2 linked regions of the Schizosaccharomyces pombe genome follow. The gene in region 2 interacts genetically with the main gene of each other region. Each region holds a gene or a part of one and is shown on either strand. Other genes may lie near its edges. The genes, in order: mms1 and cul4.

Region 1 (17,623 bases), 2.9 Mb from region 2:
TATTATTTCACGCTTTTTCTCAGGCCCACTTATAGTCCTCTGAGGAATTTTTTATCTTTTTTTTTAAAATACCAACTCAGTTTTTGTCGAGTGATTCTTCTTTTTTATTCATTCATTCGGTTAACTAAGTTCCCTATATTATTTTGTTTTCTACTACAAGCATTACGTTTTGTTTTTCAGTGAGCTTGTTTCGCATCTCTGACCAAAAGGAAGCAAATTGACGGCTAGTGTATTTTTGACTCGTCACATTCTTTTGTCTATCTTTGCCAATTTTTCAAATTATTATATATCTTCGAGATTAACCTCCATTCTTTAGGCTTATTCTCGTAATTTCCTTCTCAATTGAGTTCAATTTTATTAATATTGATTTCATCTGATATATTTTTTCCTTGGACTTTTTCTAGATTATATTTGTTTGCGCGCAATTTACTTATTAAATATGCCTGAAGGAGCCGGTAGACCGTGGAATCTCACAGAACTTGAAGAAGAGAAGTTGAAGACTATGTGGAGTTATTTGTTTAAGCTCTTCGGCATTACTTTACTCGAAAGAACTGAATCTTGGTACACAGTGAAGACACACTTATCTGATGATTCAAGTAGTTCCTCATCACATCGTTTAAGCAGCGTCTCATATGCGAAATCCCGTACACGACTTGAACTAACGTCTTCATCTCATGGCTCGGACACTCGCAGTTTTAATGATAAAACCAAAAATGTGCATTTGGAAAGAGTTGAAAAAATTGCAAGTGAATGGGACCCGGAAGGGCTTAGAGTTTGCTTTTGGGATGCTGTTAATTGTGATGATCCTGATGGCCTTCTACTTCGTTTCCTTCGTGCTCGAAAATGGAACGTTGAGGCTGCGTTGGAAATGTTCATGAAAACCGTTCACTGGAGAAGTAGAGAGATGAATGTTGGTGAAATTGTATGTAACGCTGACCACCTTGATAAAGATGATGATTTTGTGCGTCAACTAAGAATCGGAAAGTGTTTTATATTCGGTGAAGATAAACACAATCGTCCAGTTTGTTATATTCGCGCACGTCTTCATAAAGTTGGTGATGTCTCACCCGAATCGGTTGAGCGACTCACAGTTTGGGTCATGGAAACTGCTCGTTTAATTCTCAAACCTCCTATTGAAACTGCTACTGTTGTTTTTGATATGACTGATTTCAGTATGTCCAATATGGACTATGGGCCATTGAAATTCATGATCAAGTGTTTTGAAGCACACTATCCCGAATGTCTGGGTGAATGTATTGTACACAAAGCGCCTTGGCTTTTCCAAGGCGTTTGGTCCATCATCAAATCTTGGCTTGATCCAGTGGTTGTCTCAAAGGTTAAATTCACTCGTAATTATCGTGATTTGCAACAATATATAAATCCTGACAATATTTTAAAAGAATTCGGTGGGCCTAATCCATGGAGATATACATATCCAGAACCCTGTCAAAACGAAGCAGAAGCTCTGAAGAATGTTGAAGCTCGTAAGAGTCTTAGAGCAAAAAAGGATGCAATTGCTAAACAGTACGAGGAAGTTACAATGGATTGGATTTTGAACAATGGTGACATGGCAGAAGTGAAACAAAAACGTCGTAAGTTAGCTTCACAACTTATTGATGCATACTGGAACTTGGATAAATACATCCGCGCACGCTCAGTTTACGACCGCATGGGCCTAATTGCTCCTCAAACTTCCCATACTTTGCTTCTTTCTCAACCTACAAATGGAGATGTCAAAGAATCAATGGTAGAAGTTACTAGCTCGGCAACTTAGTCGGTCGTAACTTTCAATATTCCTGCTATTTTACATTGTAATCCTTCCCCTTGCCTATACTCCCGTATACTGACTAATTGTACTTTCCCGTGTTATTCTAAATAAGATGCTGGCTCAAAATATGATTGTATCATCTATTAATGCATAACTTTCAAGATCTTTTATATCAATTAGTTACATATGAAATCTCTTTCCTACGTTGATTTTTACACCCCTTTTCGTTTTACCATTTCCTTATCGCTTTAATTTTTTAGCACTCTCTTTAATGCACTTAAAATCATCTAGAAAGGGATAACTTTTTTTAGGTCTTATGGCTTTTCATTGAAGTTGTTGGTCGCAATACTTATCCATCCATTTTGTCTTTATTAGAATCAATGATCAGTTTTATTTGCAAATTAACTTAGATTTCTTGCTATTTATTATTATTTTTTATTTTATTGTAGGAAAGCGGTTCGAAATTAAAAAAAACAACAAGCTGAACACCTAAATGCCTACTCCAAAATATAGTATTAATTTAATGAGTATGCACCTTCGCTGAAGTATATTCCGTGCCGTAAAAATACTTTCGAGTTTAAACACGCGTGAGGTTCAAGCACCGATTAAATTTATTTAAAACAAGAGCGTTTTATTTTATTTTAATTGTTCTTAGTGAATCACTTAATCTTAGGCTCCTGTTTGACAGTTGTTTAAAACTTACAAATTTTTGGAGGTTATGATAGAAATCCTCTTTATTCGCGAATGCACGACGACTTCTTTTACACATCCACCATAAATTCCTGCAACTCGTAGAAAGTTTTGTTGAACCAAATGCGATCATCCTTAAAGCCAGTGCTATCAAATTTGAGGTTCAACTCAACAATTGCATCCGAATCACTTCGGTTTCATGTTTCACGTACACCTTCAAAAAATCTCCCAGTCTATCTAGACTACAAACAACGAGGAACGAAAATTCTGACTTTAATTCGTAAAATCCATGGTGATTCTAATGTAAGTATACATATTCCGTCAGCAGTAATCTCTTGGCTAAAGAAAGTACAAGTAAAGTCACTATGCTGCGGAAATTGTTCTATCAACTTTTTGCTTTAACGGCCAACCCAAGTTTATTTTAACTTCTTTTATTCGTTCTCTTTTTTTTTTCTAACAATATTTTATCAATAGGCTTTGCGGCTCAGGCTCATTTCCACACTTAAAATGTCACCGAAAGATGTTTATGTAAACAAGTTAACAAATCAAGTTGTCCTAAAGGGAAATCACATAGTCACAGTTCGTGAATGGTTACAAGACCAAGGTTTTTAAGTTCCTAGAATTTTTCCTTTTTTAGATTGTTACTATGTATGTACGTATCCTTCTTTCAAAGGAATGATAAAGTTGCTTTTTATCAACATAAAACTCTCGAGCATATATATCAATTTGGCTTTTTAGCATATTACTTTTACTTCATCTCCTTGTTACAGCGGTGATAATGTCAAATAAAACACAGCTGTTGCAAATAATTAATCTCGATTCATTTCTTCTCATCATACGTGGTTTTCAAACTTGACAATGGAAAAAATGCATCTTTTGTGATGGTTTTCCTTAACTACCTTTAAATAAATAGTTATTCGAGCTTCAGTAGAAACATTCAAGAGGTACTTGCGTAAAAAGAAATTCAAACATCTGCTTAATGTGAGGCGTCCAAATGCTAAATACAATCTTTTTTTTGCTACCTATTCGTTTGTTTTGTTGAATTTATAAACGCTTAAAGGAAATTATAATATATATATCGAAACTCCGGTGTTTTTATTTTTTGACTGTAGTTATAGACAGAATACGTTTAAGGCTATTAGGGTATATAACTAAATTAAAAATTCTTTTCTCAATATTGTATAGTTTGTAAATTGACAAATATTAAATGCTATATCGAAAACATACCTTCAAACATAATCTATATATCTGCGTCATACGCCCATGGACTGTTCTTTACCTTTCCCTTCACACATACTTATAATCCTGAAATCTCAACGACTTTTTCATTATTTTTGAATTGAACTTGGATTTGTCTGTGATAGGAATATTTTGACAAACATTTTTAGCTTTTAAAATTTTTGCTTTGTTCTGAAGACGTTGATTTACAATTTGCTTATGAATTAATTATTCACGAGAAGAAAATTCCTTGTAGTTTATCCCTTTTTTATTGGTGATTATAAGCTGAATAACTCTTAATGTTGGGAATTATATTTTCTTTAGTGAACTGAGGCTTTCTCGAAAAATACTTACGGTTATCCATGATTTAATGATTTTCTGTTTTTTTTGTTATTTTTTTTTCGTTTATCAAAAAGTGGTTAAGCATTGACACGATATAAGGCACTTTATTTCCGTGTTGAATTTTTTGTTTTGTTTTTTCTTGACATTAATACCTTACTTTCCTTGAATGCGAACAAACCGCATTCATTTGTATTCGATTATCGAAAGCCTTTTATTCCTTTTCTTTTTCTTTTTTATTAATGCCAGCTTGTTATTGTGCGACATCAACGTCTCTTGAAAATAATGAATTGCTATACAAAAATATTCGAAACTTGTTCTCTACTAGCAGGAGTTTTCCAATCGAACAAGAATGGATGAATTTGAAATCGATAAGTCAGATGAAAGACTTTTTTTCAAACTTTCCTGGTAATAGTAAGGCGAACAACCACTTTCTCTGTAATTCTCCATTGAAATTCGAAATTTTTAACAATGAGAAATCTGTTAAACCTTCAAATGGGCCTCATCTGTTCACGAGATGTTCATGTCGTTGTAATAAATTATTGTCTGGTGATTATATAACTCAACAACAACCAATTGATGCTTCTGCTGAACATTCTCTTAACGCCAAAGGTATAAATACCTATTCATTGAAGAACTGCTTTCAAAGGAGTGGTTTTATAGGATCATACGAGGAGAGTTTGTTTAGTGGTCACATGCCTTACTGTTCATCAGTACCTTTTGAGTTTTCCATAGAAATTGGGGTTATTTCGTTTTGCCGATGCAAGCCTTCACTTGTTTTCCCGCCACATTTAAAAATAAATTTTGTGGCTTACTCACTCGTTGGAAATGTTGATAATGTGCAATTTCCTTATATCGGTCGATTTCGACTGAGAAGTCAAAAAAGCGACAAAGTCATGAATAAAGGCTATCCATTCGGATATAGAATTCCATCAGTTGGGCAATTACAACTAATACTTCGACAAACTAACGGTTTAGTCATTAAAGTTTTTTTGGTGCCTTATAATGTTTCAAGTATGGTTGATTGCTCTAAAACCTGGATTCGCCAGAAACATTATCTTCAGCAACTAGACGATAAAAGTGGGAAAATTTTAAGTCATTTAAAGTTTGGATTACAGTTACAAATTATTTGCACTTCTGCAGGACACCATTACCTTTATGACTCTCAAAGAATTATTTTTGTCCAGCAATCTTTAGGCGGGTTATATGGGAACACGAAGATTGTGAATGAAACACTGCTGTCAGAAAGTTGTCGATAGCTAGCCAACTTTTTACTGCTGACATGTAAAGATTTATTGACTTATATAACTCTTTTTTAATGAAAATTAACATTCATGCGTTCCAAGTTTATATTAAATTAATTTAATATTATACTCTTTGCTTATCTACGTCATTTAAAACCATCCAAAAATTGTTCATTAGTATTGCTCTGATAAATTTATTGTTGTAAATTGGAATTTCTAATGTGTGATAACATTAAGTATCAGAATAGATAATTGTATCCGACGAAGTCGGATCGTTAGGCATTAAGATCTTGAAGATATTCCCATCTAAAGTACAACCCATCAATCCCCAAACAATATTATGATTATCTTTATCCACCCGAATAACTGAATACTTTAAATGGTTAGTTAAGGCATTTGTTTTTGTTTGAGACACTGTAGTAAGAATTGGCTGGAGCATTTGTTCTCTGGTAGACGTGCAAACTTCACCCTCAACTTTGAAACAAGTTAATAACCGGTCTTTGTCACAAGAAAACAATAATTTTTTTTGTGAAATGTAAAAGCAATCAATGCCTAGTCTCGATGATGTGTCGCTGCAAACTAAATTAAGGGAGTTGTTTTCACTATCATACTGGAACACGGCAACAGAATCTCTTAAACTAGAAGTGTACACATAGTCCTTATACGTTGACATCGATACAATGGGAGACCGAACAGGTAACTCACAATCACTGTTGCAAAACTTCTTTGAGTCTAAGTCCAACATCTTTACACCAATCTTTCGTCCTGTTGCATAACACAATCCATGTTTTCCGATCGAACAAACGGAATAAATAGGGTCTTTCATATTAATTGTGATGACATTGCGAAGTTCTATAGCATTGCTGTCATGATCTTTATTCATGGTAAGAATTAACAAACGACCTGTAGTTAATCCGTTTTTTCGTACCCCTGTTCCTATACAAAGGTACCTATATTTTCTTTTTTGATCGTCGGCTACAATCCAAACTAAATAATCGTTAGGTGATTAAAGTAAAGCTAACTTACAAGACATAGAATATAATAATTCCTCCGGTTTGAATATTGGTTTACCTTTAATATCCATTGAAGGCCAATTGACAGGGAAAAGTCGCGAGCTGTGTAATTGTTAGTAGGCACTAGAAACACGTAACTCACTTAGTCAAGTCGTAAAAAGCAAGACCTGAGGTTGTAATTTCATTTACTAAAACGTGACAACATCCAATGATTAAAGTGTTCGTATATTTATCAACAAGTAATCTCTTGGGAGTTGCTGCAAGATTTAGTTTTGAAGAAAAGGTTCGCTGTGGAAGCCAAAGTTCCGATAGGTACAAAGTATTATTCGAATAATACACTATGATTCTTGATTCACTGTTCTGGAACTTATTTGGAATATCGTAAATACCAGAAACACAAGTAAAACTGTCATTTACTTCAAGTATCTGGTTCAGCGTAGGTTGTTCAGTTTCCATATCGATACCCACTATATACAAATAGTCAGACCATGCATAAATTGTTGAAAACTCATCGGAGGGTGACTGTAACGTGAGTGGTAAGTCTGTTGAAATAGGATTAGAGTAAACTTTAAAATCCGGTACTCCCTCTAACGTTAGAGTTACATAGACGGTTAAAAGAGTAGAGTTGGATGAAATCAATACATAAACAGCGCGGTTTGATTTTCTCAAATACGATATGCTATGAGGAAGGTATCCAAATTGAAAACCTGTTAAGGGGACTTTATAGACACTAGAGTGTGAGGTTTCATCATAGAAAACGCATTCAAAATAAGGTGAAGGATGAACCAGTATCACCAGTAGCTTTCTTTCCAAAGAAAAGGAAGTAATACAAGTAGGGACATCGTGTAGATCGAAGGAATCCGGAAGCGACTGAAGTTCAAGTGTACCATTAGAAAGAGTATTTAGTTTTAGTGTAAGCAATTGACTTTTGAAATTCATTAAATCTTTTTTAACGATGAAAATTAATTCGTTATAAGCAGCCAAAACAAATTCTTCATCTCCTGAAACCTCAAGAAGGTTATACTTTGTACAACTAGGAGTAACAGCATAAATGGATTTTCCCGTAATAATGATAAACGTATTTTGGTAATTTATAACATATAAAGCTTTTATATCATCCAAAAAAAGACTTTCGGTAACATCTTCGACGACCCCATCGAGATGAAGCCTTAAAATTTGTGTTTGCCAAGGATAAGTTAGCCAAGCGTAAAATTCAGAGTTGTGGTTAGAATTTATAATTCCTGATAAAACAGCTCCCTCAGTTAATATTGCTTCAAGCAAAGTAGTGGATGAGCACCCGTAACGCATTGTGACCAAACACCCAGATTTACCAATGCCAGCAGTAGCATAAACTGTATTACAATTGATGTCTTCATCCAACAAAGTGTTATGCCTTGATGAGGAATACACAAAATCCCACATTGGAGCGCAAGCAATTAAGCTACCAAAAAAGGACATAGGCGATACCGAAACATCATACACTAATGTATCAGAACAGTCACCACAAAAAACAATGTATGGATAACAAGGTAGTATCAAATTTCCTAAAGAAGATCCAGTCTTTCCAATTAAATTAATATCAATAGACAAAATAGAGTAACGAATGCGATACAAATCTCCATTTTCGTAGGTTAAATAGCAACAATTCGGAGTTTCGTTATCATTTGCAATAGACAATGGATAATTATGTGAACCGCTGCATGGAAGATCGGTCTGTAAAAATTTTAGATCCCCACATTCTATCTGTGGGACAGAAAGCAGACAAATCTTTGTCTCCAATAATACTAAAAAATGATCAGGAATATTGGAGCAAGGGATAATATGGGAAGCAAGAGAAAATTCGGATGGAACCGGTATTGAGAAGGTTATGTAAGAACTAGCATCAGAAAAGGTTTCCGTCTTAGACCACCTATAAACATTGATTCTAGGATTCGAATTTGAATCTAGAAAAAGACAAACATACGTAACACAAGACGAAGAGGATCTTTTTGGAGGTACAAATATGGTATGAAGTATTATTCCATCGATAGAAAGTTGAGCGAAGACTTGCTTGCTTAAGGAAGGATGATGTGAAAAGAAAAATACAATATCACCAGCAAAAGAATTAGTAGCCCACAAGGAAGCATTTGGGCATAAATCAATTGATTTTCCTAATTGTTCATGGTTGTACATTCGAGTATCAAGAACGAATTCATCTCTAATACGAATCGTCGGAAACGCTTTTTCTGGTGTTTTGACGAGCTGCAACAAGTAGCATTTTCCGTTTTCAGTAGCAATTAAAATATTCGCTATTGAATGTCTACCTGATTCTGACTGAAGGAAATGGCTTGATAACAAAGCAACAGACCTCGTTCTTGCAGGCAACGTGAATCTTTCAAAAAGTAGTAAATCACCAGATCGCTTTAAACTCACAGAAGCTACAGAGGAAAAAGATCCAAGTAAAAGGAGAGGAGCACCATCATATTCGGAAACATGAAAAGCCCAGGTGAATACGTTTGAATGATGAATAATTTCTGCCATGAATTCACAAAGTTAAACGCTTGGAACCAATTTAATTTGATTAGAGTCAAATTTTGATAGAATAGAAAAAGCTATTAGTTAATCGTATGCATCAAAGAAATTAGCAAATACGGAAAAAACATTAAAATCAATGAAAATAGATATGTACAGGTTTAAATATATATAACGCCCTTATTTAGAAGATAGATCCTTACGAGTTCCTCCAAATGTGAAAGGATTATTGACAACCAACCATGGCTTGTTCGAGTTAATATGTTGGGTTGTGTTGAATGTATGTAAGAATATCCATCGTTGGAATTTCGAGAACCTAAGGAACACAAAAATTAAGATAACAATTAATATGCGATATATGATTTTGATTTCTAGTTAACAAATATACGATTTGGTTTCATCTTTAGAGAAGTGTTGTCTGACCTACGACAGTTTGAATTTTCTACGGCCATTTAAAATCAATAGCTTAATGATGTCTTTTTTACCTACGTGAAAGAATTATCAACAGGGTGCTAATGTATACATTCAGAATCCAAAGAAAAAGGCTGTGAAAATGCAAGTAGGCACTTTTTGTTTTCCTAATTAAGAAATCGAAAACAAAAATTAGTACTTCCAAATAGATTTACATTGTTTTAATGTTGTCAATTGTCATTTTGAATGCTTAATTCAACAGATATAGACGGAAGTAAAATTTGAAGTATTAAAGAGTGCATAAAACTATTCCTCCTAAATATTTCGTAACATTGCTAAGTTATTGAATATATAGACCCATGCTTAAGTACGTGTCCTAGATGCGCTTAAGGTATTTAGTTACAATAATATATTTGCTTCATCTGATACTACCCTCAACCGCAATGTTTTTATCTTATTATATCGAAATTCATATTTTATTTCGCTAAAATTGTTTCTGATTTACTTTCCGCTTTCTCATTTCCGTGCAGTAAACTTGGATACGGTAATTATATATGGAGCTTAGTGTCTTATTGTTTAATAACGAGTCTTAGCTTTCAAATATTTTATTGGCTGCCGTTGCCGAATAGTGTTACCTGAGAAGGAATATCTTCCAATTACCTAGAGTTTCGAAATAACGTTGTTTTCGCTAGGCTATCTTGTGTTGCGCTACAGTAACACCACTTGCCAAACCTAAACAAATACTAGCCGACCGTACCATTCTCAGCTCGCCACTACCAACCTCTAAAGAACCATTTATACGGGGCAATTGAAATCGACTAACTCCAATTGTATAGTTAAATTGGAGTATTTTGGTTTGTATTTGCAACCAAAGGTTTTTAAACTAGTATCTCTTTCGGAGAAGCTTTTTTGCCTCTGCAAAAGTTCCTTTCTCGAATTGGTTTTTTGAGGAAAAGCAAGTTAATAAACTAATTATATTATATATAATTAGCAATTTTATAAAAAAAATAAAAAAATAGCCCTGATTGCTGGCAACTGTGAGCTGAACATTGGTTAATCGGTCCATCTTTTTTTAAATATTTTACATCGCTACTTTTAAGTGCTTGACACTTGCATTTAATAGCTACTTTCTTTCCTTCATAAAAATTCCTTTTTTTTCCTTTAGTTTTCCGGTTAATTCCTTACGAAATTTTTTTCGTACGCTTCCCTTTTTTACTCTGATAATTCTTTGAAGCAATGTCTGCTCTTTCGACCTTAAAAAAGCGCCTTGCTGCGTGTAACCGAGCATCCCAATACAAGTTGGAAACAAGCTTAAACCCTATGCCTACATTTCGTTTGCTACGCAATACGAAATGGTCATGGACACATTTGCAATATGTGTTTCTAGCAGGTAATTTGATTTTTGCTTGTATTGTCATTGAATCTCCTGGATTCTGGGGGAAATTTGGCATTGCCTGTCTTTTGGCCATTGCGTTGACCGTTCCTTTAACACGCCAAATTTTTTTTCCTGCCATTGTTATCATCACCTGGGCAATTTTATTTTACTCTTGTAGGTTTATTCCAGAACGCTGGCGTCCACCCATATGGGTTCGTGTTTTACCCACACTTGAAAATATTCTTTATGGCTCTAATCTTTCTAGTCTTCTCTCGAAAACCACGCATAGCATCCTTGATATTTTGGCCTGGGTTCCATATGGAGTCATGCATTATTCGGCTCCTTTTATCATTTCATTTATTCTTTTCATCTTTGCACCTCCTGGAACTCTTCCAGTTTGGGCTCGAACTTTTGGTTATATGAATTTATTTGGTGTTCTTATCCAAATGGCTTTCCCCTGTTCTCCTCCTTGGTATGAAAATATGTATGGTTTAGAACCTGCCACGTATGCAGTACGTGGCTCTCCTGGTGGATTGGCCCGTATTGATGCTCTCTTCGGCACTAGCATTTACACTGATGGTTTTTCTAACTCTCCGGTTGTTTTTGGTGCCTTTCCATCTCTTCACGCTGGATGGGCCATGCTGGAAGCACTTTTCCTTTCGCATGTGTTTCCTCGATACCGCTTCTGCTTTTATGGATATGTTCTATGGCTTTGCTGGTGTACTATGTACCTTACCCACCACTACTTTGTAGATTTGGTCGGCGGTATGTGTTTAGCTATTATATGCTTCGTTTTTGCTCAAAAGCTACGCCTCCCACAGTTGCAAACTGGTAAAATCCTTCGTTGGGAATACGAGTTTGTTATCCACGGTCATGGTCTTTCCGAAAAAACCAGCAACTCCTTGGCTCGTACCGGCAGCCCATACTTACTTGGAAGGGATTCTTTTACTCAAAACCCTAATGCAGTAGCCTTCATGAGTGGTCTTAACAATATGGAACTTGCTAACACCGATCATGAATGGTCCGTGGGTTCATCATCACCTGAGCCGTTACCTAGTCCTGCTGCTGATTTGATTGATCGTCCTGCCAGTACCACTTCCTCCATCTTTGATGCAAGTCATCTTCCTTAAATCAACGTGCTTTAAGAATATATTTCCAAAAGCTACATGATACATTGACTAGAATCGGTTTGATTCATAGTGGTATTGGAATGATGTTGTTCATTGTGTTTTTTAACTGTTAATCTGACATCCATTGAGTCATTCTTTACAATTTGTAAAATTAATTTGTATCACTAATTTTGAAGGAAGCTATTTTGGTATTAATACCGCTTTTGGTCTCCACTTCCTTTTCGAAACTCTTAACAGCGATTAGGCCGGGTATCTTCCAGTGTGATGTATAGGTATTTGTCGTTTTTTTATCATTTCCGTTAATAAAGAACTCTTTTATCCAGCTTCTTACACTGTCAACTGTTGTGAAAGGAACACATTTAGAATTTCATTTTCCTTATTTGTTGTGATTTAAATCGTTTGACATAATTTTAAATTTGGTTTGAAATGTGTGTGAGAAGGCTTGTTTTATTCATTTAGTTTATTGCTTGTTTGCACGAAAATCCAGAACGGAGCATTAATGTAATCCTTTTTTATTCTGTAAAGCGTTTTTATACAAATGTTGGTTATACGTTTCTAAAATAAGAATATTGTTATAATAATATAGTTTTTTCTATCATTTGTTACACACACTAAAGAGACATTAAGGATAAGCAAATGTGTTAAAATGATAATATATTTTGGAAACATTTATAAAGAAATTAAGCAGCTTTGACTAACTACATTTTTGTTTTTTTCCTAAGCAAAACTGTATAGTTATACACGCGAGCTGTATTCACTTCCATTGTAGTGACTTGAGCTCTCAAAAATTCCAAATCTTCTTTACATGCTTTCAATGTTTCTTCCGCTGAGTTCAGCTTCTGCGTTAACAATGCTTCTGCCTCTTCAACCGTATACTCAAGCATAACATTTGCACCTAACCAAAGGTAGACATTGTCTTTAGCTTCTACTTCTGCTTTTGCATTTAATGTGTCATTTAGTTCATATGTAACAGTAAAAGAGTCACCTTGTCGCTCTTTCAAGAACTGAACACTCTGTAACGTTTTTCGAATGTCAGGAATTTTGTCATCCAAACTAGCAACTCTCCTGACCACACTAGTCTCCATGAATTTGTACTTTCTAAATTACATTATATTAATATGAAATAACATATATATCCTTACGCAATTGCTTCTTGGAACTTTTCGAGATGACCTTGAGCTTCCTCCATAGATAACTCTTTGAACTCAAAAAATTGAGCGGGTGGAATTCCCCGTGGATTTCTATTCATATTAGTTATTTTTTTAAAAAGTATTATACTTCAGTACATACGAAGAACTCATTCTCTATGCAACAGAAAAAGGGGCGGTTGTTTTGAACAGGTAACTGAGTGTCAAAGGTAATAGGTATAGTAATGTTACAAATTTGGAAATGCGTATTATTCCCTAATTACCAAATCTAACCAAGTCTGAACTACACAGTCTAAATAGGCAGAATATTTTGGTTATACACATGTAATTGATAATTGTTGCAAAATCTATTCATCCAATTTACCAACCATAACCTGTATAGAACCATTGCGCAGCGTAATGCATTTTCATTTGAAAGTACTAGCGAGAGTTTTATATCACTAAACTTTTTAAACGTTTTTTAATTACTTGAAATCACATATTTTAGTTAAACATATTCTGTTTGGAAAAGGCAGTTTTGTTGAAAAAATTGTATTTGAAAGACAACTTTATAGAAGGATAGTAAGAAAGTTAATTCCTAAATGGTCTATATTGAACCAAAAATAGTTACATTAAAAAACGAGAGTCATTAAAAGAGCAGATAAATTTGACATTAGAACCACTTTGGAACATTAATCGAAATTTAATCAATCATACAAACAAAAAAATTACAAAGTGCTCGTTTAGGTCACTGATCAAGAAGGGCGGACGGTATAAAGTAATTTGAAGTAAAATCAAAAATGTCAGCGAATAATTTAGAGGGATCCTCCGTGGTTTCAGGTTCTGCATCTTGCATAGGCGGTTCATTTGGGTGTAACATACTGTTGATGAATCTTAAAACATATCCAAATCGGACAGCCATGCCATCATCAAATGTTACGATATCAACCATTCTTTCTTGTACATATAATGTTATGTCACCTAAGTCAGAAGGCACCTCAAAGCCTTTATCACGGCAAAACGCAGCCAACATGAGGGCGTGGATAATCTCCAACAACGCTACCAAAAGCCAGCCTCGTTTTTCTAATATAGTGATTTGAGATATGAGTAGCCTCACGCACTGAATACAACTTTCACCCAAATTACCAATAATAGTTTCTTCATCTTCTAAAATCCCTGAATCCAGGGTAATAAAACATTGATACAAATTCACACGTGCAGTCCAGAACACCATTTTCAAAAATATGTATCGAAATTGAATATCTTCATTAGAAGGGTCATAAAACTTTGCTTCTATATCTACCAAAATAAGCGAAAGCTGTGATTCATAACTCTCCAGTTTATCAATGAATTTACTAACGGTGAGTGAATGAACAGATTTATAGATTGAAACACCACAATCAAGTAACCTTCCAAGAAGTAGATGAAAATTGTAGCTAATATCGTCATTAAAAAAACAACGAAGCGGCTTGAGACGACCATAAGTGTCGTGTTGAATGAATGGCGGACGGTACTTTAATACACATTCCAAACCATCAATTTCACAGAGAGCAAACCACAAATCTGACGTATTTTTTCCTATTTTTTCCGTAACTTGGAAGAGGGGAGTTACTAAGGTTGATACGTGAATGCTTCTACATAAGTCAGTATTCACTCCTCTTATTCTTGTGCGAAATTTTGTTGCATACGCTCGCAAAAGCAGCATCTGAATTATTTCTTTATCAGGCAAGCATAAATGTTTATATTCCTGCTCGGATATCTCGTTAAGTTTTAAATTTATAAGACGGCTGGATTCCAATGGAGTAATCCCCGCCGAATTATAAAAATTGAGAATAACATCAGGCAAATCGCTCAGCTGGATAGTTGCAGCAATAATTGGTAATAAAGTGAAGGCATCTTCGTACGAAAAAGATTCTGGTGATTCAATGTTGTTTAAGCTTTTTTCTACTGTCTCTTGATCATAAATAGGACAGACAACATTTAGTGTTTTAAAAAATAAATTAACAATTTTCTGTGATATGCAAAATGGCGGTAAAAGGTTCGCCAAACTCTCAACAACCACATTATCTTTATAGCTACTGTAAGCCTGAATTGAAAACGAAGGTCGAGATGAGCACATGTCGCTATCCTTTCTATATTTAATCAACTCAAAGAGTGATCTCCATCCATAAAAATCAAATTTCTCATTTTTTTTCGGATTAATATCGGGAGAAACTTCCAGTGTGGTTTCAGAATCAGAAGCATTTTCGCTATGACTAGGATGTGGTCCGACGTTCATTTTATCAATGGTATCATCTGCGTAAGTGCAAACCTCGTTCCTTTCTTTACATCGAGAGCAAGGCTGCTGACGGTCGCATTTGACCTTGCGGCGCCTACAAATTAAACATGATTTTGGGCTGCGTTTTCGAAATTTCTTTAAAGCTGGAGGAGAGGAAGACATTATTAGAAGTATTGATAACTTGATAATTTCCTTTCAAGCAATTGTAGTTGCCTCCGTATTTGAAGTGGAGGCACAAAATAAAACGAGGATCCTTCAAAACTTCCTATTTTAGAGAATCCTTTAAAAGCACCTTGATATTCAGACCGACCAGCGGTTGTTATTTCTAATTAAAAAAATTAACCTGATAATATACTTTAAATAAAGTTCCTTAATTGCAACTTCAGATTGGGAGGCACTTGTATTACTAGTAATGAAAAGATTATAATATAAAAGTTACTACTTACTTACTTACTAAGCTTACAACGTACTAGTCGGCGTTGCGTAGCAGTGCATCGCTGTTATCAGATCAATTAAACTGCACGTTTACCTAAGTAGTAAAATATTAAAAGGACATTTGACATTCATGATCATCAAATTAATAATAAAAATATGTCGTTGTTATTAATTTTTACTCGCTAAATCTCTTAATCAGTAAAAATCAAGTATCGAAACTTTCTTCCTAACGATTTATTACCATTTTTTGTATGCATCGAAAAAAATACAAATGAACAGTTGATAGTCCGTGCAGCAAGAAAAATTACTTGTCTGTTGGTTTTTACATATAAATGCTTCAAGAATAACTGAGAAAAAAGTGAAATAAATATTGAAGACAAGGACATATATATCGCAAAACCATATTAACAAAGTGCTACCTAAAACACTTGTTAACAAATAATATATATAAACCTTTTCTAAGGTCAGATATCAAAAATCAGGTTGCTTGAGCTCTGCGAGCTGCTCTAATATCTTTTGAAGTTGCTTGTTTCCAGCAACTGAAGACCTTTGGCGGCTTTCTTGAGAATGCAATGCTTCGTAATTATCACGAGCATAATTTTTAGGCATCTCATTCACAACAAATTGGGACTGAGATGTAATTGTTCCAAATGATCCTCCGGTATCATTAGGATTAAAACTAACTCTAGTTGGAATGTATGAAGTAGTGCTATAGGTATTTTGAATGAATCCTAATAAATGGTGAAGATTAACAGAATCTAAAGAACCTACTAAAGCTGGTAGATTAGGATTCGTTGATATACAGGGAGATGGCACGTCAGGCACAATACGCTCACCATTATACGATGGCGTACTAGAAGCAGCTGAGTGCATGAGAGAAGTCTTTGCGTGGTGAACAATACTTGCAGCAACCATCACGTCCACAGCAGCATATTCTATAAAGACAAAGTTAGAGTTCTGTCAAAACACATATATCTTTATTCAACGTACCATCACAACGGACTTCTGAATCGCTAGATCCGTCTTTAAACACTTGAACCGACACCTTCCCTAGGTGAGCCAAACCGGCGTTTATCAAGATAATGGATTTAACGCTGTTAATAATACAGCTTTTAATAATGACTTGTAAGTTTGAGTCACGGTACAAACAAGTGGTATGTATATTCAATCGACGCTCCTGAAAGACTTTTTCCACTCCCCATACAAATTCCTTTGGACAGTCTTCCGTGACTAGTATTTCACAATCAGGGCTGAAGTTTTTAGACATGGATATAGATCCCTTTCTATCGTAGGATTTACCCTTCGACATTAAAGGAGATCGCGTGCGTTTTCTGTATTACGTTAGCAAGGCTAAAAAAACAAACAAAATTGCGATGTTTTGCGAAATTAATTGCAGCAACGATAATTCCTTACCTGCTACTAGTGGGATAAGGAAGGTTTCCAATCATTTCAGAATATTGATTACTTTTGGTAACATGTGATCCTTTCTTCATGTTTTCTATTTGATTTTGATATTTCTTCTGAATTTTAGAAATTTCCAAATGCAGCTTTTGACCCCGAACAAAATTGCCTTGTTCCGCATTTAAAGCCCTAGCACAATCTTCGTTTGTAAAAAACTGAACGAAACCATAATTTGCTTTTAAAACTATCTGTGCTAAAGGCCCATAAATTTTAAAAACTTTCCACAAATTTCGTTTAGATAAGCTCTTTGTATTTAGATGACCCAAAAATAAGCGAGAAGCTGAAGGAAATTGCCCTGGATACCAGTTTGACATTATACTTTCTTCATCTTTCAAAAATTGTTGAAATCTTTGTTCATCCTCTAAGTTCATTTGCAACGATTTCTCGGCAGCATTGTTACCCAAATATTCAACATTTTGTGCTTCATGATTAAGTTGCAAATTTTCAGGACTATACGCAGATTCCGGGGAACTGGGTGTCTGGGGATTATGATGTTCATGTAATTCATTATGCTCATTATAATAATTGGGCAAATTAGCACTATACGAATAAATACTAGTCCTGTGAGCCTCAGGACTAGTTGACAAGTCTTTAGAATAGGGAATAAAATCAGTAGTTCTATA
Region 2 (16,803 bases):
CCAAAATTTTCCGTTGATTCTTCTGTCGATGATAATGCTATTACCCCTAGAAAGCCCTTTTCGAAGATTCCTAATCGCCTTTCCCCTTCCACTCAGCCGTTACTGTCAAACAGTAGACATAGTTCGTTTAGATTGGCTTCCAGTTCAACTTCATTTCCCGCTAGTTTGGAAATGAATGTTGACATTGACCTTGAGCCTAGTGGTTACTTTTTCTATCGCCATAATAATTATATTATATCTGATTCTTCTAACACTCGTGAAGTTCTTCGTCGATACAGTGATTTCTTTTGGTAAGCTCTCCGAATTGTTTGGATATCTTTTCCATACAGTTATTTTCCTTTTCTCTTTCTTTCTTCTAACTAGTTCGAAAGGCTACATTCTTACTTGATGAAAAAATATCCTTTTAGAAGAGTACCATTAATACGTAAGAGTTTTTTTAGTTTTTTTTTTTTTTTCAATTTACGGCTTTTAACTTACTAATTCTTTTAGCGCTAAAGAAATTTCACTGTATGCATAGTTAATCATCCTTTTCAATCCCAACAATGCTAATATATGTCAGTTGCGAAGCGAAATGCTTCAACTCAAAACAGTTTTTTAGAACACCGCCGCCAGGATTGTCCGACTTTGTAAATGACTTATCTCATCATCCTATTTTCTCCAATGATGAGGTTGTCCGAGTATTTTTTACAGAGCCAAATGTAAGTTTTATTCCTTATAGATTTAACTAATTGCTCTCATGAATTTAGGTCTTCAAAAATTGGAGAAGGGAAAATCAGAAAAGAATTGACCAAGAAATTGAACAATTCCTAGTGGTACCTCAAAGTCAAGTTCCCGATGCCTCAGAAACGGTTAAAGAAAGGCTTTTAAAATTGAATATGTCTACTACTACGGCGATAAATAACCAGCTCAACATCTTCAGGATCTTTGAGAAAATGATTTTTACGTTACAGCATTTTCATGAAGATTTTCTGAGACTGCAAAATTCTTTCAAGTAAGTATTCAAGTTGGTCACGTTTTGCTAATCCTTTTCTTAGTTGCTTACTTGATAGTGGATTGTACCATCAAGTGTTTACTTCTACGTTTGCTCAAAATGAAAGCAAAATTATGTCAATGGCAAGTGGTCACTTTTATAACATTGATTCTCTCCTGCATCAACAAAACGACGCTGTCAAACATACATTTTTACTTGGCCTATCAAAGGAAATTAAAATTCTAATATCACTGCGAGTAAGTAGTATAATCATTATTTTTTTTCTAATACCTTAGCTTTTAATTGAAAGAATATCGGAAGTATTTTCTACCGATTTAACGAAAGTACGGCATACAATATCGAATGATGAGAATTTACTTCGTGAAACAGCAAATAGCGACGAAAGTGGAAGAAATCGAACATTTTTGAACCGAAGTTCTAAGAAGAGAGCTGAAAATAGTCTTAAAAGTGTATGCATGAATCAATATACTTTTCACTTTGGAATTTGTTTTAACGAATATTTAGAAGAAAGAGCTTTACTTGAAAAATTTAAATCAAAGGTACCAAATAGCACATGAACTCGAACAGGAACTTTCCTATTTGCAAGACTATGTATTTAGTCTGGGAAATCCTTATGTTGAATATTGCAAACAGCATGTTAAACTCGAAGAGGAGAGTCTAAAAATATGGCATACATTGGAAAGTGATTTTTCTCGGCTTGAAACTTGATTATAAAATTGTTTGCTAATTGCGTTATGTTTATCTAGAACATATTTAGATAATACGTATGTAGAGAACATTTAATTTAAAGGTAATATTGCACGATGCTTAAATTATGTACACGTGCCAGAATCTACTACAAAACAACTATAAATATACTCTTAAACTTGAATGTTTACGAACGAATAACAATCAATTAATCGGTATGTAAGGAAAACCAAATTTTTCGGTAAACCCAATGAATAAAGCAAGACAACAAATATCATGCATTAATCAAACAGGCGAATCACAAAAATGTCTCATCAAATCCAATTTAAAGGGAAGAAATATCACGTCCAAATAACTTAACTCTAATCCAATCTAGTGTAACATTGGTACGGTTACGCAAGGAGTATAATTCAGAAAGGTAAACCGAACGCCAGAAGTAGAAGGCAAGAGCACCGCTTGCATGGAGTTGTTTTCCAAACCAGGGAACTTCAATATCGGCAATAGCTTTCTCATGACCGACATAGGCGAGAGAACCTTGGTGAGAGTATTTGAAGGGAAGGAAGACCTTGGTAGAGGCATGCTTCTCATTTGCTAAAGAGATAAGTGTGCTGGAATCCATTTCATCACCGAGGGCAATGTGTCTATCTTCGCTAGGCTTCTCAAAGTTCAACGATCCAAGTTTGTTAAAAAGTTGACCGAGGTAGGCACCTTGCTGTGAAGCCACTTGAGCAGTGGGAGCATAAGCGGTGTGAGTGCAATCACCTAGAGCGAAAATGTCCTTGTAACCCTTCAATTTTAAGTATTCATCGACTACTAAACCACGTCTGTTATTTTGCTCTTCACTACCCTCCATGAGCTTTTTGGTAAGAGGGCGGGCACGGTTACCACCAGCCCAGACCAATAATCCGTAAGGGATAACCTCTTCTTGCTTACTTCCATCAGGGTTTTTAACTTCAACATGGATATTTTCAGCAGTGACCTTTTTTAGGGCAGTATTAGTTCTGATCTTAATATGGCTGCTGTCAAATAAGCTTTGGGTATAATCACGTAACTTGGCGCTAAACATGGGCAAAACAGAAGGTAAAGCTTCGACAAGAGTAACGGCAAAGTCATCAGCAAGTTCAGGATACCAGGATTTCAGATCATCTTCAATGAAATCAGCCATTTCACCGGCAAATTCCATACCAGTAGGACCACCGCCAACTACGACAGTATGTACATATCTGCGACGAGTTTCAGCAGGAAGATCCTTAAACTGTGCTTGTTCGAGGCAATGAAGGATACGAGCGCGAATCTTTTGGGCATCCCAAATTTCCTTCAAGAAACAGCCATACTCGGCGATACCGGGAATGTTGAAGGTTTGTGTTTCAGCACCGTGAGAGCAAACAAGATAATCATACTTGATTTCCTGCTCTAAATCGACTCCATCAGTGGTGGTTTTCTTGATATGGATGACCTTTTTGTCGGCATCGACGTCTGTACATTCAGCCTCGTAAAATTTAACATAGCAGGACTTATGACGGAGCATATAACGAATGGGCTGTACAATGCTTCGAGTATGAACGGAACCAGTGGCAGTAGAAGGCAAAAGAGAAGTGAACAAGAAATAGTTTCTAGGGGAAACAACGATAACGTTAAAGAGAGAAGTATCAATAGTACGAAGAATAGAAGTGGCACCCCAACCAGCACCAAGGACGACCAAAGTCTTTTTGGAAGGATCGGGCAAAGGTTGATGAGGATCAGGATGACGGAAACGGTAGACATTGGCACCATAAAGAACAACAGCCGTAGCGAAAAGACCTAATGTAGTACGTTTCAGGATCTTCCACTTACTTGTGGTGCTCTTGGGAGAAGAAGCAGCATCGGAAGCAAAGCGCACGCTGTTTGCAAGGCGAAGATTGCGAGAAGCCGATAAAGCTAAGGGAGATTTTGGAATGCCAGCCTTTGGCATTCCTCGGAGAATAGACCGAGAAAAAAGCATACTAACAAGCAACTACTAGAAAACTTCGAGAGAAACAAAAAAAGATGCTAACTTATTATGTGATAAAAATACACAAAGAAGAGGGGAGAGAGAGGGGGGTAATAAGTTATCCACAAACACAATCAAGGAAAGTTAAAAAAATTGTGGATATCAACTGTTTGCTTGAAAAGCCTTAAGAGGGGAGATTTTTAAAAGATGAAGAAATGGGTCTTTATTTTAACAACAAAGAAAATATATCAGGGGTAAAATAATATTCGGTCAGTTGAAGAAATGGATAGGATCAACAGAGGCCGCAAAGACTGAATAATTAAGTTGAGTTGGGAGGGGGTGGTTAAAGTGACTCCGAAGAGAAGCAAACTACAAAGAAAAAGAAAAAAAAATATAATAAACCAAGTACAACACTTACGGCGTACTCAGCTATGTAAGTGTGCTCCTTTTATACACTCGACGATTGCGCAGATAAGCGTCGATTTAATAAAACGTATTTTCCAAAGGCTGATATGATATCCTTGTAGGTAATCAATCAGTACAGCCAAATGGTAAAAAATGAGCGGTAGGTGTAATGGTAGTTGTCAAAGTCGGACAGGGTATTTTAACGACAATTTAATACACGAGCGAGACTATTTTGATAAATTGTACGGGCGGATCCGTTTGCGGACTTTTAATGATGACTCCCGTAACGCTGACGACATGTATCTGCACAGCGATTCATGGCCCGCCTCTGTGAAAGAGGGAGCGACCATTCAGCGATTCCAGCCGCGTCCGCTACAACATACCGGACATTGTTGTTTCTTGACTTCGATTAGCAATGTAAATAAATAGAGACGCTCAAAAACACCTACAAAACCGATAGTTTCAAAAACTCATATACAGTTGCTTCACCTCAAAAAAGGTTCTACCTTTAGTCATGGTCACAGGGGATTGTGGGGTGCAACTTTTTCACAAACTCTATGCATGCGCAGCGGCGTAACCGAAAATTCCCTCATTGCATCTAGAGGAGCCATGTCATTATAAAGAGACGTATAACGTGATCTAACACCAAGCTCGCAAAATCTGACAGCAAAAAATACCAACCGCGTTATCTAATAATACAGTAATACACTTTAGACAACGTTAATGAAGACAGGACGCGCGCGCATCGCTTTTGATTTGTGTTTAGTCTGTTAGAAGCATGCTGGGGTAGATGTGTAGGTGAGAAGCTAGGTTATATAATCAAAGAAGATCAAGCAAACTAGAATCAATGGTAAATTCCTTCTCGTTTTAACTATGTCACTCCATTCTTATGAGGGAATTCGTGACGGACAAAACAGAAGATACCGTTTATTTGCTTTCACCTAGAACTGATCAAGAAGCTTAGAGAATCAATAACGCTAAATGTCCCAATTTCCTACGCCAAATACTTCAACTTATTCAATTTATTGCTTACATAGGAGTGTTTTGATGTTGGTTCTGAATACATCCAAACAAACACGTGTTTCAGCTACATCTACATCAAGTAACACACACATCACTGTCACTTAGAGATGTAAATAATGAATAATATAAGAGGTGTTTATGGGCAGGAAAACCAAAATAGAATACCTTGGGCTTTACAAAATTAATTAGATTTATTAAATTTTTACTTTAGATTTTGTAAATAAAGGTGTTCTATAAGTGTGATAAGCAGCACCACATTCCATCCATGTTAATCCTTACATTGGAAAATGCGGTACTTAGCGCGAACACTTTCGTAGAAGGCAAAAATGCAAGGTACAATTTTAGAATGAACTTTGGAATTGTTCCTTTTCCAAACTGATTGGAGAGCAGTGCAGACTTCCTTGAATTGGTTTCCAGATTTCAATAGCATTACTTGACACGGACAGGTAAAGAGGTGTGTGTATGAACGACATATGAGAATAGAGAAAAAAAATCCACTGGAGATTCACCAGCAAATAACAAAAAGGATGGAAAAAGAATAAACATATAACCAGAAAAATTAAATTAAATCAATTAAAAAACAAATGCATACTCTATTAGGTGACATATGTATAAATATCATTATCCTCGCGTTCTAGATACTCTTTCTCTAGTAGTTTTTCAATGGCAGTTTTCACATCAGACACCAAGGGTATTCCCCGATCCTTAACATTGTTTATAACGTATTGAACTAAATCGTCATGCTTCATTTTTTCCTTTTGTTTCATTACTCGAACGATACTGGCTTGCAACTCAAACTGTCGATCTCTCACTACTTGTTCTTGAACATCAGAATTTTCTTGCCGCTCTTCCTTTAAATAAATTTGGTTAATTTTTACACGATATAACTTATCTGTAAACTTTTCATTAACATAAAACATGGTGTCTGGACTGGGTTTTTTGCTTTTGGGAACCATCACTAATGGCCGAATGCGAGCACAACTCAAGGACTGTAATGTACGAGTCAAATCGATATCAGAGAGCTCTGTAGATTTTTTCAAATCTTGATACGAAATCCCTTCTCCACCCAAACAATTGTTGAATTGAAGTAAGACACAGGCTTGGAAAAGCGATATACTTAGTTCCTTATTGCCCAGTGGAAATCGGGCTTTTACGATGCAATGTCCTAGCGAAGCGTACCAACTGATTTTTTTCCCAACCTGCTTTGAAAGGTAAAATTTTTCAAAACAATCCAAATCCTGTTGCATATCATCTGGAAGCCGGATATGTGATTCTGGATAAGAGGGCCAGTAAGCTTGGGACAAGACGTTAACATACAAATCTCTATGAAGGTTATGAGCAGCCTTTGAGTGACGAAAAGAAGAAGTAAATTCTTTTGAAATGTTAACGTCTCGAAACATACCCTCCAAAGAGTGAGTAAACTGACTACCGCAGGTTTTCTTAAGCATATCCAGAAGCATTAATTCATTTTGCGCACTTGCAGATTTATTAAGGAGAAGCCGTTTTGCAATGTCCAGCTTGTAATACGCCTCAAAGATATCTTTACTAGCGATGTAGCGGAAAAGATCCAAAATTTCCGAAAATACTTCTTTCAGAGGCTTACCCCCTGAAGCCTGTTCGCCAACTCGTAGCAAATAATCAATGTATTTTGCAATAAGCCTAGCTGGAGCTTCTCTTTGAGATCCCTTTGCCCCATTAATGAACGTCTCGAAGGCTTTTCGCATGGCATACGAAAGGGTTTCATCATGAAGGAAACTTTCATCCACCACGACTTGTAAGAATTTGTGGAACGATAACAGCTCTTGAACCAAAGTATCATCCTTTGATTCATCGTTAACGAGCTTGAAACCAACGTCCACTAAGCAATCCGACCAGGGCTGAATTAAATATTCGGTTTCATGATTGAATTGCAGTAATGCATACAGTAGTTTACAAGAATGGGCATCCCTTTTTTCAATGAACTGACTTATACCCTTTGTGAGTGTGTCAAGATGTGAAGTAATTAGACACCTTTGAACAGTCTCTCGAATGGACTTTTTATCGCGCACAATATCAAACTTTTCAACGTAGGCATCCTCCCGCTCAAGCGAACTCATCGCATATTCCAAGTACTCTTCCAAAGGCAGCTCTTGAATTTTTTGGCTAGACTCCGTATCATAAAAACGGCTTAGCATAACTAAGTACATGGGAACAAACACAGAGCTATACATTTCCGTGCGATGTAGCATTAACATCGCATCCTGTAAATAGGCGTGATCAGTGCTTTTAGAGCTATGTAAATTTTCAAAGCTTTGGAGAAGAGAGTTCAAAAAGGGAATTTGTATGTTTTTGACTGCCATCAACTTTTCACGAAAAAGTGACAGAGACAGCTCTTCGATTGTCGGGTAATCTGGATGGTGAGAAAGAAATGTTTTGTCCATGTAATAGAATATGTTTTGAACAATCTCGACTCTTTCCAACCATTTGTTCCAACACCCTACTACTACGGTGCATGCATTAGTGTCTGTTTCAGTCCCTTCAAGCTGTATAAAAGACTCCGCAGAATCCTTTAAAAGCTGGATTCCTGAAGACATATGATGTTGTAGGATGTTAAAGCACCGAGATGCTTGATCCGCTCTTGTTAAATTTTCGACTCCCGAATATAACTCTTGGTAACCTGTTTTTAAGCCTAAACCGGCCATCACTACTTGCAAAGCCATGTTCAAACGATCTATCATCGTCACATAGTAGGTCTCTTGTCTTTGCCTCGACTTTCGTGGGTCAAAGCCTTTAACCACGATACGTTTTGCTTCTGGAGGCATAGGTGTGCTAATGTGAAATAAAAAGTAATAAATAGATGTGTGGAAAGCCTGAGCTCTTTCACTACTATAGTTTCACCTGCAAAAACCAATTTTGTGCTCAAGTAGTGACGTTCAGAAAAGTCGGTTTAGAGCAGCACATATAGACAAGGTACGAAGTTCCTATTTCACTTTCAAGCTATTTTTTTGTGTCCATCTCACTAAATAAGCCTTTTTTTTCACTTTAGAAATTCTTCAGTTTTTTAGAGATTTTCAAGCTGCGACTCATTGCAATTAGCTAACTATTGTTTTCCATGTTTATCCTCCACTATCCACAACGAACGCCAGTTGTTGAAACAATTGGGTGCTTGAGTAAACTATTAGCTTCTCTATAGTTTCTATAAAGTTTTTTATTTGTCTTTTTGTTTATATAGGTTTGAAATTACAAGGTCAGGTTGACTTGGAAAGAGAATGGCATGGAGTCAAGTCGAGATTTCCAAACCACATCTAGCATATGCTATTATAGGAGGATTTACTTCATTATTTATGTTATGTTCTTTAATTATTAAGGAAAAGCTTTTTTTGGGCGAAGCAAGTAAGTTATTAGTGGTTGCAAAGCACAATTGTTTGATTTGCGTGTTGAAACGATACTTGAATTGTTTGATTTAGCTGGTAGTAATTCCAGATTATTCTTTCGGTTTACGTTCGTTAAATAAAGAGCGATCTCTAGATATTTCAGTGTGCATATTCCACCATATTATTTTTACTCTTCAATTCTTCATATATGTGAAGCATACTAACTTAATATAGCTATGGCAACTGCTACGGGTCTCATTTTTGGTCCTTACGTTGCAAAACTGTTTGTTCCCACCAGCTGGGGTAATACCGACTACATCACCGAGGAACTTGCTCGAGTCCTTTTAGTTGTCGAAGTTTTTGCAGCTGGCGCTGAACTTCCAAGAGCATATATGCTTCGACATTGGCGCAGTATGTTTGTTATGCTTTTGCCTGTTATGATTTTTGGATGGCTAGTAAGTACTGGCTTCATGTATGCTTTAATTCCCAGACTCTCTTTTCTGGAGTCATTAGCTATAGCGGCATGTATTACTGCGACAGATCCAGTGTTGGCTTCTTCTATTGTCGGTAAAGGTAAATTTGCACGTCGAGTCCCAGGTCATCTTAGGAACATGCTTTTGGCCGAATCTGGATGTAATGATGGCATGGCAATTCCTTTTCTGTATTTAGCTATTTATTTAATTATTGAGAAACCTGCCCGACATGCTGGCCGCGATTGGGTATGTATCATTATTTTATACGAATGCACCTTTGGCTGTGTGCTAGGTGCAATAATAGGTGTAATAGCCCGTAAGATGATTAAATTTTCGGAACGTCGAGGATTAATGGATCGTGAAAGTTTTCTTGTATTCTACTTCGTTTTAGCACTATTTTGTGGTGGTATTGGTACCATCATTGGTGTCGATGATTTGTTAGTTTCTTTTTGTGCTGGTGCTGCTTTCTCTTGGGACTCATGGTTTTCGAAAAAAACAGAAGAATCTCATGTTTCCAACGTTATCGACCTTCTTCTCAATCTTTCCTTTTTTGTATACGTGGGTGCTATCATGCCCTGGCCTCAATTTCACATGCCACATATGGATTTGAGTGTATGGCGACTCGTTGTATTGGCTATATGTATTTTAATTGCAAGGAGAATTCCTGCCGTTTTATTATTTAAATCATTTGTTCCTGATATTATCAATTGGCGAGAAGCTCTCTTTGCTGGTCATTTTGGTCCTATTGGTGTAGGTGCACTGTATACTTGTTTGGTTGCACGAGCCGAATTAGAAGTACATAGCACTGTACCTGAGCCTAATGATGCTATCGAAAACCCTGAAATTCCAAACTGGTATTGCATACAAGTAATGTGGCCAGTAGTTTGTTTCCTGGTTCTAAGTTCTATCATTGTTCATGGAAGCAGTATTGCATTTTTCATGCTTGGTAAAAGGATTAATACGTTGGCTTTGTCGTTTACGAGAACAAGGGACTCTCATTTTGCTTTTAACTTACCTCGTGTTCGTCAAGGACAAAGCTTACCAATTAAAAGAGTTGATGCGTTGCGCTCCTCTGCCAACTCTATTGCTTCTTCCATAAGAAGGCGTCATCCTGTAAACATTCAAGAAGATGAGGATGCTGATATATCAACTGTCTCGCTTCCTGAAGCCGCACATCTACGGGAAGAACGTGCTGAATCACCACGCGGAGGCCACTATGACGCTGAAGAATTTCCTTCTGAAGACTATGAATCTCGGCAACCTCGCCGCTCGAATGAGGAAGATAGAGAAGAAGAAATGAATCCTGGTGACGAGACATATCTTATTGGCGAAGACTTGGTCGTTGAAGATTCTCAAGGAAACATTATTTCGCATACCAGTTCTCGAGATGCAAATGGACCTTCAATTGATGAAAAACTCGCTCAAGGGGATCCGAAGGCAAAAAGTTTTGGTCGCAAGTTTCGCAGTTTCTTACGACGTTCCTATGATACTTTTCAACGTAATTTACATGAGCCGGACGACGAAAGACAAAGGGAACCCACTCTTGGACATATTGAGAGTTCTATTGAGAATCATAGGCCTAGATACTCAAGGCAAAATTCGGAATCTCATTTGCGTGAAAATAGTGTAGAACGCCGTCGTCGTGAACAAGTTCTTACTAATATTGGGGACAGTGAAAGTGAGGATGATAACATACCCAGGCCTGGTATAGTTCCATTTTACAACGAGAACAATGAAAGCAGTAGTGATACGAGAAATGGACTCTTATCTGACAATGTTTCCGAATCGCGCAGTCGTCGACCATCGCGTGCTCCTTCTGCCGCAGTTAGCAGTGAGGGTTCTCCGGTTGAAGAAGATAATGAAGCTCAGCATAGGCCAAATATTCGATTTTTGGAACTTACCCGTGCCTGGGAATAATAACCGTAGGAGGTCACATTCTTCATATCGAAGGGGATCGTTTAATGCTTATTCATAACTGATTTTCAAAAGTGTGTTATTTTTTATTTATTAAAAAAATATGTTTGCTAATGCAGTGGTTTCTTTTATTTATTTGATGATTGAAGGGTCTATGGGTGCTGTTAAAATCAAATTTCATCAGTCTTTTATCGAGTTTTTCTATGTCTCGCATTTGCCAATTAATGAACACATATCGGATAACTAACTCTCCTTTTTCTTTTTTATATTATTGGACACATGCGTAAAAATTATACTGTGGAAAATAATCTCAAAGCAAACAAAAATTTATTACATTAACTAAGAGAGCTAGTTAACTAATAGTAAAATAATCGATCCATCAAGGGGCATAAAAGAGTAAGCAATAGGCATGGTTTGTCGTTAATCGTAAGAAATTCATAACCGGCAAAATGGAATAATACAGTAAATTTTTCCAAAAATAAAATAAAGAGGTAGAGGTAGACTTATTAATAAACGATTAAGTTTAAAAGTCGTCTTCCCACTCCAAAGGTGGCTCATGAATTGAATGCCCGAGATCTTCAGTGGTCTTCCAAACACGAAGCACATTACGGCCTGCAATATCTGCTAATTCAGTGATACTGAGACCACGCTCAGCCAATTTAACAAAAAGATCAGGATACTTGGAAACATCCTCGAGTCCCTTGGGCACCATATCAATTCCATCGAAATCACCACCCAAGCCAATATGACGATACGATCCAGTTACATTGGCAATATGCATTATATGCTCAACGACGGTATCAATTGTAGCATTTTCAGGGTGTGGACTAATGAATGCAGGGTAAAAATTCACCATAACAACGCCATCAGTTTCCTTGACGCGAATCAGAACATCGTCAGGAACATTTCTGGGATGATCATAAACCCCTTTAGCGGAACTATGTGAGAAAAATGCGGGAGCAACTGATACATCTAAGGCTTGATGCATGGTCTCAGGTGTGGTGTGTGAAAGATCTACAATCATACCAAGACGATTCATTTCACGGACAATATCGCGGCCCGCAGGAGACAATCCTTTGTTAGTACGCTTTCCGTCAACCGCAGCATCGGCGAATACGTTGTCACAATTGTGCGCAAGAGTAGCATAGCGAACGCCAAGATCGTAGAATTGGCGTAAAATGGATGGGCTTCCTGCAATCTGGTGAAGACCTTCAATGCCCATCATACTTGAAATGTGATTGCGTAAAAAGTCGAATTTGACCTTACCGCTATGATCAGTCAAAGAGAATGTTTTAGGGTAGTATAGAGCCATCCTTTTAACAACATCGATTTGTTGAAGAGTCTGTGTAACAGCTTCATATTCACCTGTGCGATTCCACGAAAGAGAACTATTGGAATCCAAGCTAGGACATTCGACAAATACAGACCAGAATTGACCCCCTACATGTCCTTGACGAAGACGAAAAATGTCAGTTTGTCCAGGAAGGTGCTCAAGCGAAATATTTAGAAGGCGATTATCATAATTTTCACGAAGATATATTGGAAGATCATTATGCCCATCAATTAAAGGAAAATGAGTTAGTACAAAGTGAGCCTTTCGTTCAGGAGTCCAAATCCATTTGCCTTTGCCTAAATAGCCAACCGCACTCAGAATCAAAGCCGCAATTAAAAGATGAACCTTTAAAATTCGTCTTCTACGAGGTTTTTGTTGGTTTACAGGTAATGGAAGCTCCAATTTGCTATCGGAAACCATCTTGTTCAAAAATGATTACTTGTGCGGCAATTGTTAAGATGTGTGGAAATGTCACGTCGGTTATATATGCTGGGTCTCGATGAAGGCGCAGGATGTTTAATATAATATTTCACCGTCAATTACCAAAAAATTCAATTGTTAAACTAATAATTAGCAAAACTTGGCAGAGATTGAATGTCTAATTTGCTAGTGCTAATGTCACTTTAAATGAGCTTATCTGATGTTGTTATACAAACCCTTCGCTAAGAGCAAGACTACATAGCTAGATCTTAAAAAATTAATCTGTTTATTAAAACGATGTTTACTATGCTATTAAAAAAATAAAACCTCAGTATAGAGTAAAAATGGATATATCATTTCTAAACAAAAGTCGGTATAGCGTTATATACAGAAAAACAAGATGTGATATAAGAAAAGGAAATTTTTTAATAAGACATACATAGAAAGAGAAATTTCGAAATTTGGAATGAGTGTTGCGAGTCAACAATCCCAATTAAATTGAAATGTAGTAAGAAATTTGCAAGAGAACGAAAATGTTGAAGTTTAAAAGAAAAAGAAACGCTTTTGTTTGCAAGTTATGACACTAATAGAAAATGAAAGGATCGTTGACAGTAGTTAAAACGGCGTATCCACCAACAGTTACTCTTCAGTTCTTCTCATTAAATGAAGCACATCCGGGCACATTCCCGTTTTATAAGTATAGAAGAACAAATCTCTCTTTCAATATCATCTCACAAACTTTTGTTGCTCTTTGCATCATATGAAACAAGCAAAATTTACTAATATCTTCACAAACCTAACAAAACCTGAGCAAAGCAGCAGTGGCTATGTGCTGTTTATGGTTTTAACTTTCAACACATACTAGAACAGCCTCCTGTCACTTGAGGTTCTGAATTAGGAGACGCTGGAGGCGGTAAAGTCTTTTCTAGGCAGCTAACAACTTCAGCAAATTGGTATGTATCTAAAACCTTGGAAAATGATCCCAAGCTTGCTTCAATGAGATCATAACTAGTCGCCGATGGTATGGGAAGAATTCTACCCCTTCCGGCTGACAAAATAAAACTCAAGGCCAATTCTGCTAACGACATGTCATATTTTGAAGCTAGCTCCTTCAATGCTTGTATACAAGGAAGAGTCGAACTAAACGTGCTTGAGGGAGGCTGCTCATTACATTGATGATGCTTCTTTAAATTTTCAATGTCCGCCATTGTAGTTACACGACCTGTTAGCAAACCATGAGCCAACGGGGAATGAGCTACAAGAGGAATGGACAAGTCATGGCATAGTTTTTTTACCCCATTATATTCAATCTCGCGAAAGAGCATTGAATAATGGACCTCAATTGCAGCAATCCGCACAACAGAATGAGCACGCTTGATTTCCTCAACAGAGGGTTCACAAAGACCGATACATCGAATGTCACCAGAATCTACAAACTCCTTCAAACAAGCCATCGTCTCCTCAATAGGTGTGTCAGGATCAATTGCAGCACATTGGTAAAGATCAATAGTCTTTACTTTTTTGAGAGTCTCTCGGACAGTTTTGATGCTTTTGGTAATACATTCTCGTGTCCCGTGAACTCGGTGAGTTTCAGGATCAAACGCACCTTTGACTGACAAGAACACCTTATCTATACTATCGGGAAACTTTTGAAAGTACCTTGAAAGAAGTTGCAAATTGGCTAATGGTTCAGAAAGCCCATAAAATTCACCTGCGTCCCAAAAACTGCATCCATGACTTAGTGCATAGTTCATAATTCGAAACGCTTCTTCATCAGGAACAGGATTCTCAGTCCATGTAAGACTTTTTAATCCTAGACCAATTGGTCCAACCAAAAAGTTGTTAATATACGGCATAGTGCGCAATGCTGCCAAACTATACCAACTTCCGTTCCAACGGATGTATCACAAACACGACTACAATAGCCTTAGTTCAAGAAACAAAAGCCAATTGACAGTAAATTAGGAGTTCGGTGAATATTTTCTCAAGACGAAAATGTCTATGTGAACCAGCTCAATGGTGGTGATTTTTATGGCGCTAGTTTGTTCTTGGAAACAACCGGTTACCGATGATGACGATTACAAGTCAAACTGACACCCCAATATAGCTCTCGAGATTTGGAAAGACTAACTTAACAAATCAAATATAAATTATAAAGATTGTCAGAGGTGGATGGGGCTTTACTGAACATTAAATGAAGTACCTTTTGAATATCGTTCCACTGACAAATGGATACATATACTGGGATCAAGCGTTCATACAGTTGTAGAATAAGTATATAGGACATTGAATTGTTTACAAAGAAAAACTTAAAAAAGCTATTATGAAGTTCAATACAGTTAATGATGGGCTTCGAATGAATTAATTGTTAAGAATCAAGCTACTTGGTTTCCAATTATTAATATTTCCAAAACGAAAAAGGAAATGCATACTGGATGTTCATGAGTCATCGCTGTTATTCCTAATCTTTGCAACATAAAGATTTCGTTTTTTAATACGAATGAGGAGAATGGGCAAAACGACTAGGGATATTGTGCCAAACAAACGATTTAATTCAGTAATGTTGATTCAAGTTTCGTGGCAGAAACACATTGATAACCTTATAAGCTTAAATAACACATAGATTGATATTCGTTCCAACATTTTCATAGCTACATCGCTAATCATTACATCGAGCAAAGCTCTTTTCAAATGTACAGTCGTCTGATTCCTTCCAACGTAAACAAATGTACATTGACTTGCTGTCCCACTGGGAGGTCCTTTTTTCCCTTAATATTTACTAGCGTATAATATCAAGCTCCCATGGGATCATAAAAACCAATTTACAAAAAGACAGAAGAAAGATGAGACGGATGAGACGAATGAGATAATCGGGATATATACGGTACCGTCCTCGTAGAAATGAAAGAAAGTAACGCTTATGCAAAGTATTGCAGAGTCTTAGATTTGCGCATTTGTACTTCCAATATACCATCCATAAAATGTTCATGATTAATTTTAGTATCACCTTGACGAAGAGCAATCATACCCGCTTCAACGCAAACGCTCTTCAACATGGCACCATTATATTCATCTGTACTTCTCGCCAACTCCTCCCAGTTAATATCGTCGTCAATGGCCATTTTACGTGAATGAATGCGTAAAATACCAACACGAGCTTCTTCATTGGGAAGAGGAAATTCGAGTTTTCGGTCCAGACGACCAGAACGTAACAGAGCCGGATCCAACGTATCTACACGATTTGTAGCAGCAATCACCTTGACACGGTCATCACTACTAAAACCATCGAGTTGATTGAGGAGCTCCAGCATAGTACGTTGGACTTCACGATCACCGGCTTTTTCAGAATCAAAACGCTTGGTACCAATAGCATCTAATTCATCAATAAATATAATGGCAGGGCTTTTTTCTTTGGCCAAGGCGAAAGCATCGCGAACGAGTTTAGCGCCATCACCAATAAACATTTGAACAAGTTGAGGAGCCGCAAGTTTTAGGAATGTAGCATTGGACTGGGCAGCACAGGCACGAGCTAATAAGGTCTTACCAGTGCCAGGGGGACCAAACATCAAACATCCCTTGGGAGGTTTCACGCCAAGTTTACGGAATTTATCAGCCTGCTGCATGGGCAAAACGATGGCTTCAAACAGTTCTTCTATTTGTTTTGATAAACCACCAATATCTGAATAACGCTCTGTGGGTTTTTCGTCTACTTCCATAGCCTTAACACGGCTATCATACTCTGAAGGTAATTTATCAATGATCAGGTAAGAATCTTTGTTGACACCAATAAGATCACCCGGATGAAGCTCTTCAGGTTCAACAAGACCGATTAAGGGAAGGAAGATGGTTTGACGAGTAGATGTCTTAATAACGGCTGACTTGCCAACACGAGTAGCCTCAGAGTTTTGGTTAGCTGATTCTTGGACATCAACTTCATCAGGTTGCATATCTAAAATTTCAACAACGTTTCCTACCAAATAAGGTAGCATCTTATTATTCGAAATTTTTTCTTGGTTTTCTTTGATTTTTTCGAGCATGGTGCTCTTTTCATGAGTTAATCTTTGAAACTCGGATTTCATAACCTACAATCTATGTTAGTGAATTTTACTTCTAGAAAAGAACATTCGACCGCATTCATCTTTCCACCTTCATTTAAGGATGAGGGCAAAACATTATCAGATCTTCGTTCTCTGTGAATAAAGAAATTATAAAAGAAAAAGATTTCGGTTTTCCCA

The links.
Region 1: mutations in cul4 (region 2) and mms1 impair growth when combined (synthetic growth defect), as found in Schizosaccharomyces pombe (one study listed by BioGRID).

The regions. Positions count from the first base shown.
Region 1 is NC_003424.3:588,486-606,108, forward strand, and holds mms1 (E3 ubiquitin ligase complex subunit Mms1), read right to left. Parts: upstream 9,042-17,623; 5' UTR 8,793-9,041; coding exon 6,415-8,792; exon of another isoform or gene 6,375-6,414; coding exon 6,286-6,374; exon of another isoform or gene 6,247-6,285; coding exon 5,492-6,246; 3' UTR 5,416-5,491; downstream 1-5,415. Other genes in the region: csr102 (sec14 cytosolic factor family phosphatidylinositol transporter), read left to right, coding at 440-1,774; img2 (mitochondrial 54S ribosomal protein mL49), read left to right, coding at 2,582-2,761, 2,933-3,070; SPOM_SPAC3H8.04 (chromosome segregation protein), read left to right, coding at 4,258-5,274; inositol phosphorylceramide synthase Aur1, read left to right, coding at 10,431-11,699; prefoldin subunit Pfd3, read right to left, coding at 12,398-12,797, 12,842-12,940, 12,990-13,000; SPOM_SPAC3H8.08C (transcription factor), read right to left, coding at 13,575-15,266; poly(A)-binding protein Nab3, read right to left, coding at 16,011-16,474, 16,530-16,870, 16,953-17,623.
Region 2 is NC_003424.3:3,444,129-3,460,931, reverse strand, and holds cul4 (CLRC complex subunit, cullin 4), read right to left. Parts: upstream 7,988-16,803; 5' UTR 7,877-7,987; coding exon 5,672-7,876; 3' UTR 5,185-5,671; downstream 1-5,184. Other genes in the region: nde1 (NADH dehydrogenase), read right to left, coding at 2,004-3,659; dpe1 (dipeptidyl peptidase), read right to left, coding at 11,339-12,568; SPOM_SPAC3A11.11C (pyridoxal reductase), read right to left, coding at 13,420-14,424; proteasome regulatory subunit Rpt5, read right to left, coding at 15,487-16,650. UniProt on the Schizosaccharomyces pombe protein: Required, indirectly, for activation of ribonucleotide reductase through the degradation of the protein spd1, thereby supplying deoxyribonucleotides for DNA replication and repair. Also has a role as a scaffold for assembling ubiquitin ligases.